Linked DNA regions of Macaca mulatta. The protein of the gene in region 2 purifies or fractionates together with the protein of the main gene of each other region. This does not show direct contact. Links are inferred from orthologs where the notes say so. Each region holds a gene or a part of one and is shown on either strand. Other genes may lie near its edges.

Evidence for each region.
Region 1: the proteins of SF3B1 (region 2) and MAGOH purify together in Homo sapiens (co-immunoprecipitation; 3 studies listed by BioGRID and IntAct, with this or other methods). This does not show direct contact. The link is inferred for Macaca mulatta from reciprocal best matches to the Homo sapiens genes SF3B1 and MAGOH.
Region 3: the proteins of SF3B1 (region 2) and SON purify together in Homo sapiens (co-immunoprecipitation; 3 studies listed by BioGRID and IntAct, with this or other methods). This does not show direct contact. The link is inferred for Macaca mulatta from reciprocal best matches to the Homo sapiens genes SF3B1 and SON.

Annotation. Positions count from the first base shown.
Region 1 is NC_133406.1:187,368,830-187,372,582, reverse strand, and holds the start of MAGOH (protein mago nashi homolog), read right to left. Parts: upstream 2,244-3,753; 5' UTR 2,171-2,243; coding exon 2,083-2,170; intron 1-2,082. UniProt on the Homo sapiens protein: Required for pre-mRNA splicing as component of the spliceosome. Plays a redundant role with MAGOHB as core component of the exon junction complex (EJC) and in the nonsense-mediated decay (NMD) pathway.
Region 2 is NC_133417.1:102,331,787-102,334,324, reverse strand, and holds part of SF3B1 (splicing factor 3B subunit 1), read left to right. Parts: coding exon 1-264; intron 265-2,538. UniProt on the Homo sapiens protein: Component of the 17S U2 SnRNP complex of the spliceosome, a large ribonucleoprotein complex that removes introns from transcribed pre-mRNAs.
Region 3 is NC_133408.1:13,839,959-13,843,711, reverse strand, and holds the start of SON (protein SON), read left to right. Parts: upstream 1-964; 5' UTR 965-1,019; coding exon 1,020-1,096; intron 1,097-1,338; exon of another isoform or gene 1,339-1,458; intron 1,459-3,753. UniProt on the Homo sapiens protein: RNA-binding protein that acts as a mRNA splicing cofactor by promoting efficient splicing of transcripts that possess weak splice sites.

The DNA.
Region 1 (3,753 bases), on a different chromosome or scaffold from region 2:
CTAGGAGGCTGAGGCAGGAGAATAGCGTGAACCCGGGAGGCGGAGCTTGTAGTGAACCCAGATCGTGCCACTGCACTCCAGCCTGGGCAACTGAGCAAGACTCCATCTCAAAAAAAAAAAAAAAAAAAAAATCCAAACTCCTCAACATGGCATACGGCTAAGCAAAGCCCCTGCCTGCTTTTCCAGCCTCACTCCTGCAATATTCTTCTCTCACACAGCTGGAGTCGAACAACTTGGTTTCTGCCTGAAACATCCCAAGCACTTTTTGGTTTTCAGCCTCTTTGCATGCTGTCTAAAATGCCTTCTTGACTCTTCTTGGTCTCCTAACCAATACCTCACATCCCCTCCTCCCATCATTTTATGTAGGAAGCCTCCTCTGACCCTCAGGCTTGGCTAGGTGCCCCTTCTCTGCTGCAAGTCTCCTCTGTTTCTTTTTACCACAACACCTAATACGCTGTTTGGTCCCTGCTTACAAATCCATCTCCCTCACAGTCGGGGCCTGTCAGATACATCTTTGTGGCCCGCTTAATGGATGTTTTCTGTCATCTTTGATTCCTCTTTCCTTCACCACAGTGCCTCCGCCAAAAAAATCCTATCAACGATCAAAGTCCAGTTGATTCTGCCTCCAACAGTTTCCTAAATCTTTCTCTCCATTTCTACTATCTCTGTAGTCCCAACCGACATCTTTTTTTTTTTTTTTTTTTTGTGACACAGTCTCGCTCTGTCACCCAGACTGGAGTACACTGGCACTATCTCAGCTCACTGCAACCTCCGCCCCAGGTTCAAGCGATTATCCTGTCTCAGCCTCCCGAACAGCTGGGATTACAGGCATCTGCCACCACGTCCGGCTAATTTTTGTATTTTTAGTAGAGGCGGGGTTTCACCATGTTGGCCAGGCTGGTCTCGAACTCCTAACCTCAAGTTATCCGCACACCTCAGCCTCCCAAAGTCCTGGGATTACAGGCGTGAGCCACTGCGACTGGCCCCCAACATCTTTCTTGTCTTGACAACAGTCTCCTAATCAATAGCCCTGTTTTCACTGTTGCCCATTCCGCACCCAATAACCAGAATGCTTTTTCAAGAACAGATCACATTTCTTCTCTGCTTAAAACCTTCCAAGCCCGGCCAGGCGCGGTGGCTCACGCCTGTAATCGCAGCACTTTGGGACACCGAGGCCGGCGGATCGCCCGAGGTCAGAAGTTCGAGACCAGCCTGGCCAACCTGGTGAAACCCTGTCTCTACTAAAAATACAAAATTAGCCGGGCGTGGTGGTGGGTGTCTGTAATACCAGCTACTCGGGAGGCTGAGGCAGGAGAATCGCTTTAACTCGGGAGGCGGAGGTTGCAATGATCCGAAATCGCGCCATAGCATTACAGCCTGGGCAAAAAGAGCGAAACCCGTCTCAAAAAAAAAAATAAATAAAATAAAAAAAGCCTTCCAAGTCCAAACTCTTTACCATGGTCTATAAAGATCTACAAGGTGCGGCTCCTACTACCTATCCGACATCATCTCCTGCCATCTCCCAGCTCACCACTCTTCAATCACACTGACCACCTGAGACATGCCTAAGCTCATTCCCGCCCTGCAGCCTTGACTTCTGGTATTCCCTTTGGGTAGAATGGTCTTCCTTGTGAGCTTCACAAGGCTGGGTCCTTCTTGCTAATTAGGGCTCAGCTGCAATATACCATTAGAGCTCTCTAATGGCCAACCTATCTAAAAGCAGCCCATCCAGCGATTCTACCATATTTTCTGACCACTCACTGCTATCCGGAATCATCTTTTTATGATCTCTCTCCCAGCAGTAAAACACAAGTTCCACGAGAGAGGAAGTTTGTCTATCTTCGCTGTCGTATCCCCAAAGAGTGGAACAGAGCCTGGCACACAGTGGGCGTTCAGCCAACGTTTGTTGTATGGATAAAACGACGCCGTGGAGCAGACACAGTGGCGCTCCTTTCAGATCCGCACTGCACAGGTCTCAGCCCCTTCCTCCTCTAGTTCCCCACAGATTTCCGACCCTCGGCCTCCCCACTCGCCCGCCCCAAGGCCTGGTCCCGCTCCCGGCGGGCGGCAGGCTGCTTTTACCATCCGGTCGGAACTCAAACTCCAGGAACTCGTGGCCGAATTTGCCCTTGTGCCCCACGTAGTAACGCAGATAAAAGTCACTCTCCATGGCTCCCAAAAGACAACCGAGCCTGAACTTCCAACAGCAAGCCGCACTGCTGCGGTCTGCGCCCGACACTGACGTTTGCGGCGGCGCGCGGAAGTGACGTCAGATTACGCCGTCGCGTAATGGAGGGGTTCCTTCTAGCTAACCTATTCGCCCGGAAGTGACAACAAGACTGCCACACCCTCTCACGCCTAGGAGGTAACGAACTTTGTTTAACCCGGAGGCGGGGCCAACCAGCTCCGCTTCTCCACCTGGACGCGGGAGCGAGGTTGAGGTTGGTACCCGCTGGGTTCTCTCCCGGCCTGAGGCCGAGAGCCAGCCGCCTGCCTACCTCTGGGCTTTGAACGCGGGGTCTGGTGACTTCGCTTAAAGATCTCGGACCGAACACCCCGAGCCTTGCCCCCGCCAGGCTCAACCTCAGTTCACAGGACCCCCGACTTGTGTGAGTCGTACACCGCTCTTTACCGTCTCTGGACCTAGGTCATCTCGGCAGTAAAATGGGGTGAAATGACCCGACCTTCCCGGAGGATGCCGCGCACGATGTGTGTGCCTCAAGATGGCTTCCATTGACCTGAACTGTTAAGAAAGCCCTCAGTGACGCCTTCCCTGAATCCACAGTGGAGATTGCCGTTTCCCTGGAACTAGTTCACCCACACTTACCCATTTCGTCCTTTTCCACCTTTTATTTCTATCTTTCTGCCCCACTGATCTCTAGAATAGGTGCTGTGAGAAGTTAGAGTATTTGATCTCCCACTCCCCAGTCATCCCACTTACCGAGCAGTGATTCTCAGCCTGGCTGCACATTGGAATTACCTGGGGAGCCTCTAAAAATACTGATGCCAGGGCTCTACCCCAAGCCAATTAAAATCTCCAGCGCTGGAACTGGGCATTGGTACTCTTTGTAAAGCTCTCAGTTGAGGACCACTGACCAAAGAGACTCTTTTCAGAGCAAAGTTGTCCTCTGTGAAGCCATTCTGGCTCTGGAAAAAATTTACAGTTGAGTAGGGCCAGAGCAATCAAGATCATAATTATTTAATAGGAGCCTGCTCTCACTCGTCTAAGTTCCACACTTAGAGAGAATGAATGGTTCTAGAGACAGTGCTGAGATGACATCATTCTTGGGGCCTGGCAACTAGAACAGTATAAGATTCTGTAAGTCGGGACAGCAGTCTCTGATTCCTACCCCCAGTCTTTTTTTTTTTTTTTTTTTTTGAGACAGAGTTTTGCTCTTGTTGCCCAGGCTAGAGTGCAACGGCTGGTTCTCAGTTCACCGCAACCTCCACCTCCTGGGTTCAAGTGATTCTCCTGCCTTAGCCTCCCAAGTAGCTGAGATTACAGGCACGTGCCACCACATCCAGCTAATTTTTGTATTTTTAGTAGAGACAGGGTTTCACCATGTTGGCCAGGCTGGTCTCAAACTCCCGACCTCAGGCGATCCATCCGCCTCAGCCTTCCAAAGTGCTGGGATTACAGGCATGAGCCACCGTGCATGGCCCCCAGTCTTAACAATGAGTCCTTTTCTCCCTGAAAAAGCATTAGCAGCAGAGTGTAGAGTAGGTGTGGTGGGGGAAAAAAACCATTGGACA
Region 2 (2,538 bases):
TGTATTGGCTACACTTCTAAACAACCTCAAAGTTCAAGAAAGGCAGAACAGAGTTTGTACCACTGTAGCAATAGCTATTGTTGCGGAAACATGTTCACCCTTCACAGTACTCCCTGCCTTAATGAATGAATACAGAGTTCCTGAACTGAATGTTCAAAATGGAGTGTTAAAGTCACTTTCCTTCTTGTTTGAATATATTGGTGAAATGGGAAAAGACTACATTTATGCTGTAACACCGTTACTTGAAGATGCTTTAATGGATAGGTAAGTGACTTGAACTGATGACAAGAAAATAATTATAACTCTTCCTTCATTTTAGAATATCCTGAAATAGTTATTAGATGACTTTTTACTGTAATGTAGTTAAAGAAAAAAATGCTAGCCTGGAGTCTTGGGACATCGTAAATATGACTTATTATTTTAAAATAATGTGCACACTGTAGTGATTCCCCAGACTTTCTTTCAAGTTCCCCCACCCCCTTTAAATCTCTTTTCATATCTGTTGAACTAAATACATTTTGAAAAGGGTTGATTGATAATCTTTTGTTTTCAAAATTGGTCAAATATAGTTAGAGGACATGATGAGCAGGAGCTAATCAGTGTGGCAGAGACCTGATCTTTTTAGCTTTTTATTGCAGGTAAAGGATAGGTTTCTCTTAAGCCTTTGAATTACTGAACATAGCCTGCCAGAGCTACACTCTTCCTATTGCAGGTCCCTGGTGTTTCAGATAGTGACCACCAGTACAGTACTGTTCGAGTTATTTGACAGATTGCTAATACCTTTTACCATCTAGACGGATGCACAGCCTTAAACACAGAAGTAACTGAAGAAAGTGCAAAGGAAAGTGCAGGCATAGTAAGGGAAAGAACCGTTTCACTGGCTCCTTATTTTTCAGGAGAGAGAAGTTACTCAAATCAGAGCCCATTCACATACTTTTGTGTACAGATTAAAGTTATTCATTAATAACCTTCTGAAAGGGAGACTTAACTGGACTTGACAAGTTACCAGAAAGTGTATATGCAAGACATGGAAGCAAAGTAAGAATTGTGCTCTGTAAAAGCCTGGCTGCCCAGGGCTAAAAAAAATGAGGGTAAATCACCCTTGCTCCATATTCCTCAGTGAGAAGTGCGTGAGGACCATAGTGCAGTCATTAATGTATGTCACCCGCAGTTAAAAACTTTGTTCTGTGTACTGAGAAGTGGAGGGAGTAATTCCATTGAAAATTACTAAATGAAAAGAATACTTCAGTTGGAAATTTTATTAATGAGGAATACTGCTTCATTCTTATGCTTAATGACATTATTAAAATAAGAAAAACAAGAATATTAGTAAATACAAGTATTTTTCTCTTTTGATATGGTCTGTGTTACTATCTTTGGAGCAAAGTGTGGAAACTCATTTTGTTTTTTAGACGGACTTTCGCTTTGTCGCCCAGGCTGGAGTACAGTGGCACGATCTCGACTCACTGCAGCTTCTGCCTCCCAGGTTCAAGTGATTCTCCTGCCTCAGCTCCCAAGTAGCTGGGACTACAGGCATGTGCCACCGTGCCCAGCTAATTTTTTGTATTTTTGGCAGAGATAGGGTTTCACCATGTTAGCCAGGATGGTCTCTATCTCCTGACCTTGTGATCCACCGGCCTTGGCCTCGCAAAGTTCTGGGATTACAGGCATGAGCCACCGTGCCTGGCCTGGAAACTCATTTTCATACCCGTTGCAAATCCCAGTGTGTTAGCCAATGAGCTCATACTTGGTTGAATAATTGTGGAATGAATAACTGATTGATTTTTCATGAACATAAACTCAGTTAACATAGGAGATGATAGTTACTTCTGTAGGTTTGAAAAAATTGTTGATCTTCCTCTCCCCAGATTGAGTTATTGAAACTTAAACTTTACTTGAGAAGGGAATTTAATTTTAATTTAGTTACCTATTATATACCAGTATCTGAAGTACTAGTAAAGATTTAAGTTTATAATCAAGAGTTTAAAATGATTTGGGAGGCCAAGGTGGGAGGATCACTCGACCCCAGGAGCTCAAGATCAGCTTGGGCAACATAGCGAGGCCCTCCATATCTCTAACAATAAACATTTTTTAAAATAATTTTTCTTTTTTCTTTTTTTTTTTGAGACAGAGTTTCGCTCTTATTGCCTAGGCTGGAGTGCAGCAGCACGATCTTGGCTCACTGCAACCTCCGCCCCCCAGGTTCAAGTGATTCTCCTGCCTCAGCCTCCCGAGTAGCTGGGATTATAGGTGTGCGCCAGAACGCCTGACTAATTTTTGTATGTTTAGTAGAGACAGGGTTTCGCCATGTTGGCCAGGCTGGTCTAGAACTCCTGACTTCAGGTGATTCACCTGCCTCGGCCTCCCAAAGTGCTGGGATTATAGGCATGAGCCACCAATGCCCAGCCTGAAAAGTAATTTTAAAAAAGAGAAAAAAGTTTAAAATAAGATATTACCGTTTATTATTCATACATTAGAATCACATACCTCCTCTTTAATAGCATAATAAAGCCAAGACTTCACAGAGCCCTGCTGCTC
Region 3 (3,753 bases), on a different chromosome or scaffold from region 2:
ACCAGGCTGCCACCTGGCTCCCGCGCACCCGCTCGCCGGAAGTGGGCCCACTGGGACCGGCGCGGGACCAGCGCGGGACCAGCTCGGCACCGCCCCTCACCGCCCCGCCCCGCGGCGGCTTCCCTGCCCCATTGGTCCGCGCGGCCCTAGGTCTCCGCGGCGAGAATCTAGTGATTCCCTCCCGCCCTGGGCGCGGCCTGACTGCTCCCCAGCCAAGACACCCAAGCTCTAGCACGTTCATAATGTGACAGTGGTATGGGGTGCCACGCAGTGTTTCCAGGAGCTCCGAGGGGGAGCGCCAAAATGCTAAACCCATTCTTAGCCAATTGTGCACCGCTCACGAGTCAGAGCTGACCAGCTACCGCGGAAAAATCTCGTGACACGCCTGACTCCTGATGAGAGTAAAATAAACCAGGCTTTGAATGCCGGTCACTTAGGACATCCGGCCTAAAATAAGGCTGGTTATACGACGCACTGGGGGAGACACAGGGCTACAGCGAGTTCTTCCTTCGCATCCCAGCGGGGGCGGGGGCTGAAAGATTTTCTCCCGGATGCATATCCCTGTCGAAACTGAACTTGGCGCCACCTGCGAGCGCCTGGAAGCCCTATGTTAAACACTGGGTTGCCCTTCTTGCTCCTCTTCCTCCTGGCCTTTAATCTCAGGCGCTTAGCAAGCCTCCTAAGGCTTCCAAACACTGCTGGGTACTGACAACTTAGGCGGACACAGTCGCCTCAAGAGAGACGACTCCTGTAATGGCGCCTGCGTCAGACACTAACATGGCGGACATAGTCGTGCGCGGCGCAAACGTCAGCACCTCTACCCCAGCCGCTCAGAAACAGCGGAGGAGAGCAGGGCCGTGCTCACTGATTGGTCCCTCGGTGGAGCGGGCCGGACCGGGCGTTCCCTTTGGAGCCAATCAGAAAGGCGAGAGACCGAATTGGCCGCTGCGCCTCCTCCCGAGGCATGCTGGGAGCCTGGAGGACTAGCGAGGAGGAGTTGAGAGAACGGAGCGGACGCCATGGCGACCAACATCGAGCAGATTTTTAGGTCTTTCGTGGTCAGCAAATTCCGGGAAATTCAACAGGAGCTTTCCAGGTAAACGCCTCCCAGATTCTTCTGCTCCCAGCGGACCGTTAGGGCCTCACCAAGCCTTCTTTGGCATCTTTCTTCGGAGACGCCGTCGTTCCTCGGCTCAGGCCCCGCCTGGGCCTGGGATCCATTTTCCGGGCCCCCCCCAACCGCCCCCCCAGCCGCTCCCTTCCTTTCCCCTCGAGGAACTTCGCCTTTTCCGAGGTAACCCCAGACTCCCTGTTTTAGAACCGAGTTAAGATGCTCACCCTTCTCCCCTGTTTGGTTCCCCCCTGCCGTTTAGCTACTCGTAGGCCCGGTTGTCCGCCAGGGACAGGCCTAGTTCCTTCCTCAGCTCCTCCTCCGCCGCCGCGTGTCCCCTCCCCCTCTCCGCCTCCGCGGATTTTGCCGGCCGGTGCCTATGACCGGAAAGGGTCTCTAACGGCCGTTTCTTGAGTAATCTTAAATCCTCTTTATTATTGCGAGCTTCAGAGCGCTTGGGGGTCTGGATCTATTAATAAGATTATTCGGAGCCTAGTGTCCTGTAGTGTCTCTCAGCCGTTCTAATAGTTAAATGTTTCAATTAAAACTAACTCAAACTAATATTTGCTACTTTGTTAAAATACTCGAGATGACGTTGGAAGGGGACTTTGAAATGGTAGTGATTAATTACAGCAAGTGAAAGTGGACTTTGTGTGTAGGTCTGTTATTTTCTTGCTACCCCTGCCCCAGTTGACACGCTATTTTTGTCGTTGCTGGTAGACTTTACATAATTTGCGCTTGGCTTCACAAAATTTGAAGGCGAAGAGGTTGTTAAAGAAATGGTTGTTTAGTCAGGAAAATAGTGTATCATGTTCAGCGGTTGTCTTTCGGTATTAGCTTTGTGTAAGATACTCAGTTCTTTAAAGTACAGAGGTAGGAAAGAGATCTTGAAACGTAAATGTTCCGAGTTCGAATGTTTTTAATTGTATTTTAAAAGTTGAGTGCAAGAGCAGTACGTGAATTTGAAAATGGGCCGAAAACCAGTTGTAAGTGCCCAAAGTAATACAGGATTATTAGGGCAATGATGTATTATTGCTAGAATCATCACTTTTGCAGAATGTTTTGCTTTTTAAGTGGAAATAGATCCACTCACATTGCTTTTTAAATATCTGTGATATTGCTAGTAGTGTTTTAGGATGAGAAGAGACCCGAGCTTAGAGAATATAATTTTCCTGACAAATCTTGCTGGATGCTTTAAGTAGTTGTTTGCTTAGTTTAACAAGCTGTGTTTTTGTAGCTTTTAAAAGCTAGTCTTTCCTTTAGAAAATGAGTGTTTTATTATAGAGAATTTAGAAGAAATGAAAAAGAAAAGAAAAAACTCACATTATTGATATTCTTATGTCATTTCCCCCCCCCATGTATTGTGTGATATGTGATCATCTTGTATTGATCATTTTTCCAGCTAATACGTTGTTAACAAGTTTGTCCCTCCCATTCTGTCTTTTGGACTTATTCATGGCTGCATAGAATCCTGTTGTAGGAATATATTGTTGCATATTTAGGTGGTTTGAAATTTTCATTGCTTTTCAGTAAATGCAGTTAACAGTTGGTAGCTTTAAGATGAAATCATTACTTCCTTGTAGATTAACTTTTAAAACCATAATTACTTTTCTGATTTTCAGATTTGTCATAATTATGTATAAGTGCTTAGGAAAATTGTAAAATAAAGTGCTACAGAAAAGAATATCTAAAAATAATAGTAGACGAAGCACTTTATTACTAGAGGAATATGCAGTTTCTCTTCAAGCAACACACAATGCATTATCAGTCTGCAAACAAGTTTTTGATTATTTGCCATTTCAGTGAGCTATTTTTTTTCTCATCTGCTTTTATGTAAATTAGAGTATTGAGGCTGACAGATAGTTAAAACATGTTATCGAACTTCTGTTATAGATGGTGTGTAAGAATATGGCCTCTGGTTTGAGTACCAGCTTCACCTCTTAGTAGCTGTGTGACCTTCAGCTAAGTTTCTTCATTTATAAAAGAATAATAGTGGTGATCTTAGAGTTGTGTTAGGATTAAATGAGTTAATGTAGAACAGTATGACACTAGCTAGTAGTCATTAAATGTTAATTAATATAATTATAATTATACAATTCATTGTATTAGAAAACCAGATGTTCCTTGATAACATTTAGGTAACTCCTGAATTTTTTTTGGTTTTTCATCATTCAGACTTTTATCAGGTAGTGGAGCATAATTGTTTTATGTGTTTTCATTTAGCTAAAATTGAAGTTAAAATCAAACTGTTGCTGAAATTATTTGATTTTTCAAAATTTTGCAAAGTCACACGAAAATAGTAGAAATTACTGGGCGAATGACATGTTCTTACCTATTTAAAGATTTCTTTGGCCCTGTGAATGGAAAATGTGTTAAGCCATCTATGCTTTTACTGTTGGTATAAATGCCACTTGTTTTATGTGAGTTTTTTAAACCACGGTTCTTGATAATTGTGTAAAAATTGCATAAATTATTTTCCTTTTTAAGTTTAGTGGCATTTCAATAACAATGTAAGCCTGGACAGAGGTTACAGGTTACCCTTTTTATTCAGTGTGCCTGTGGCTAGCTTTTGTGTTCCTTGATACTATTGATGGTGATTGTGATTTATGCACAGGTGTGGCTTTAATGTAGCCATGGTTTCT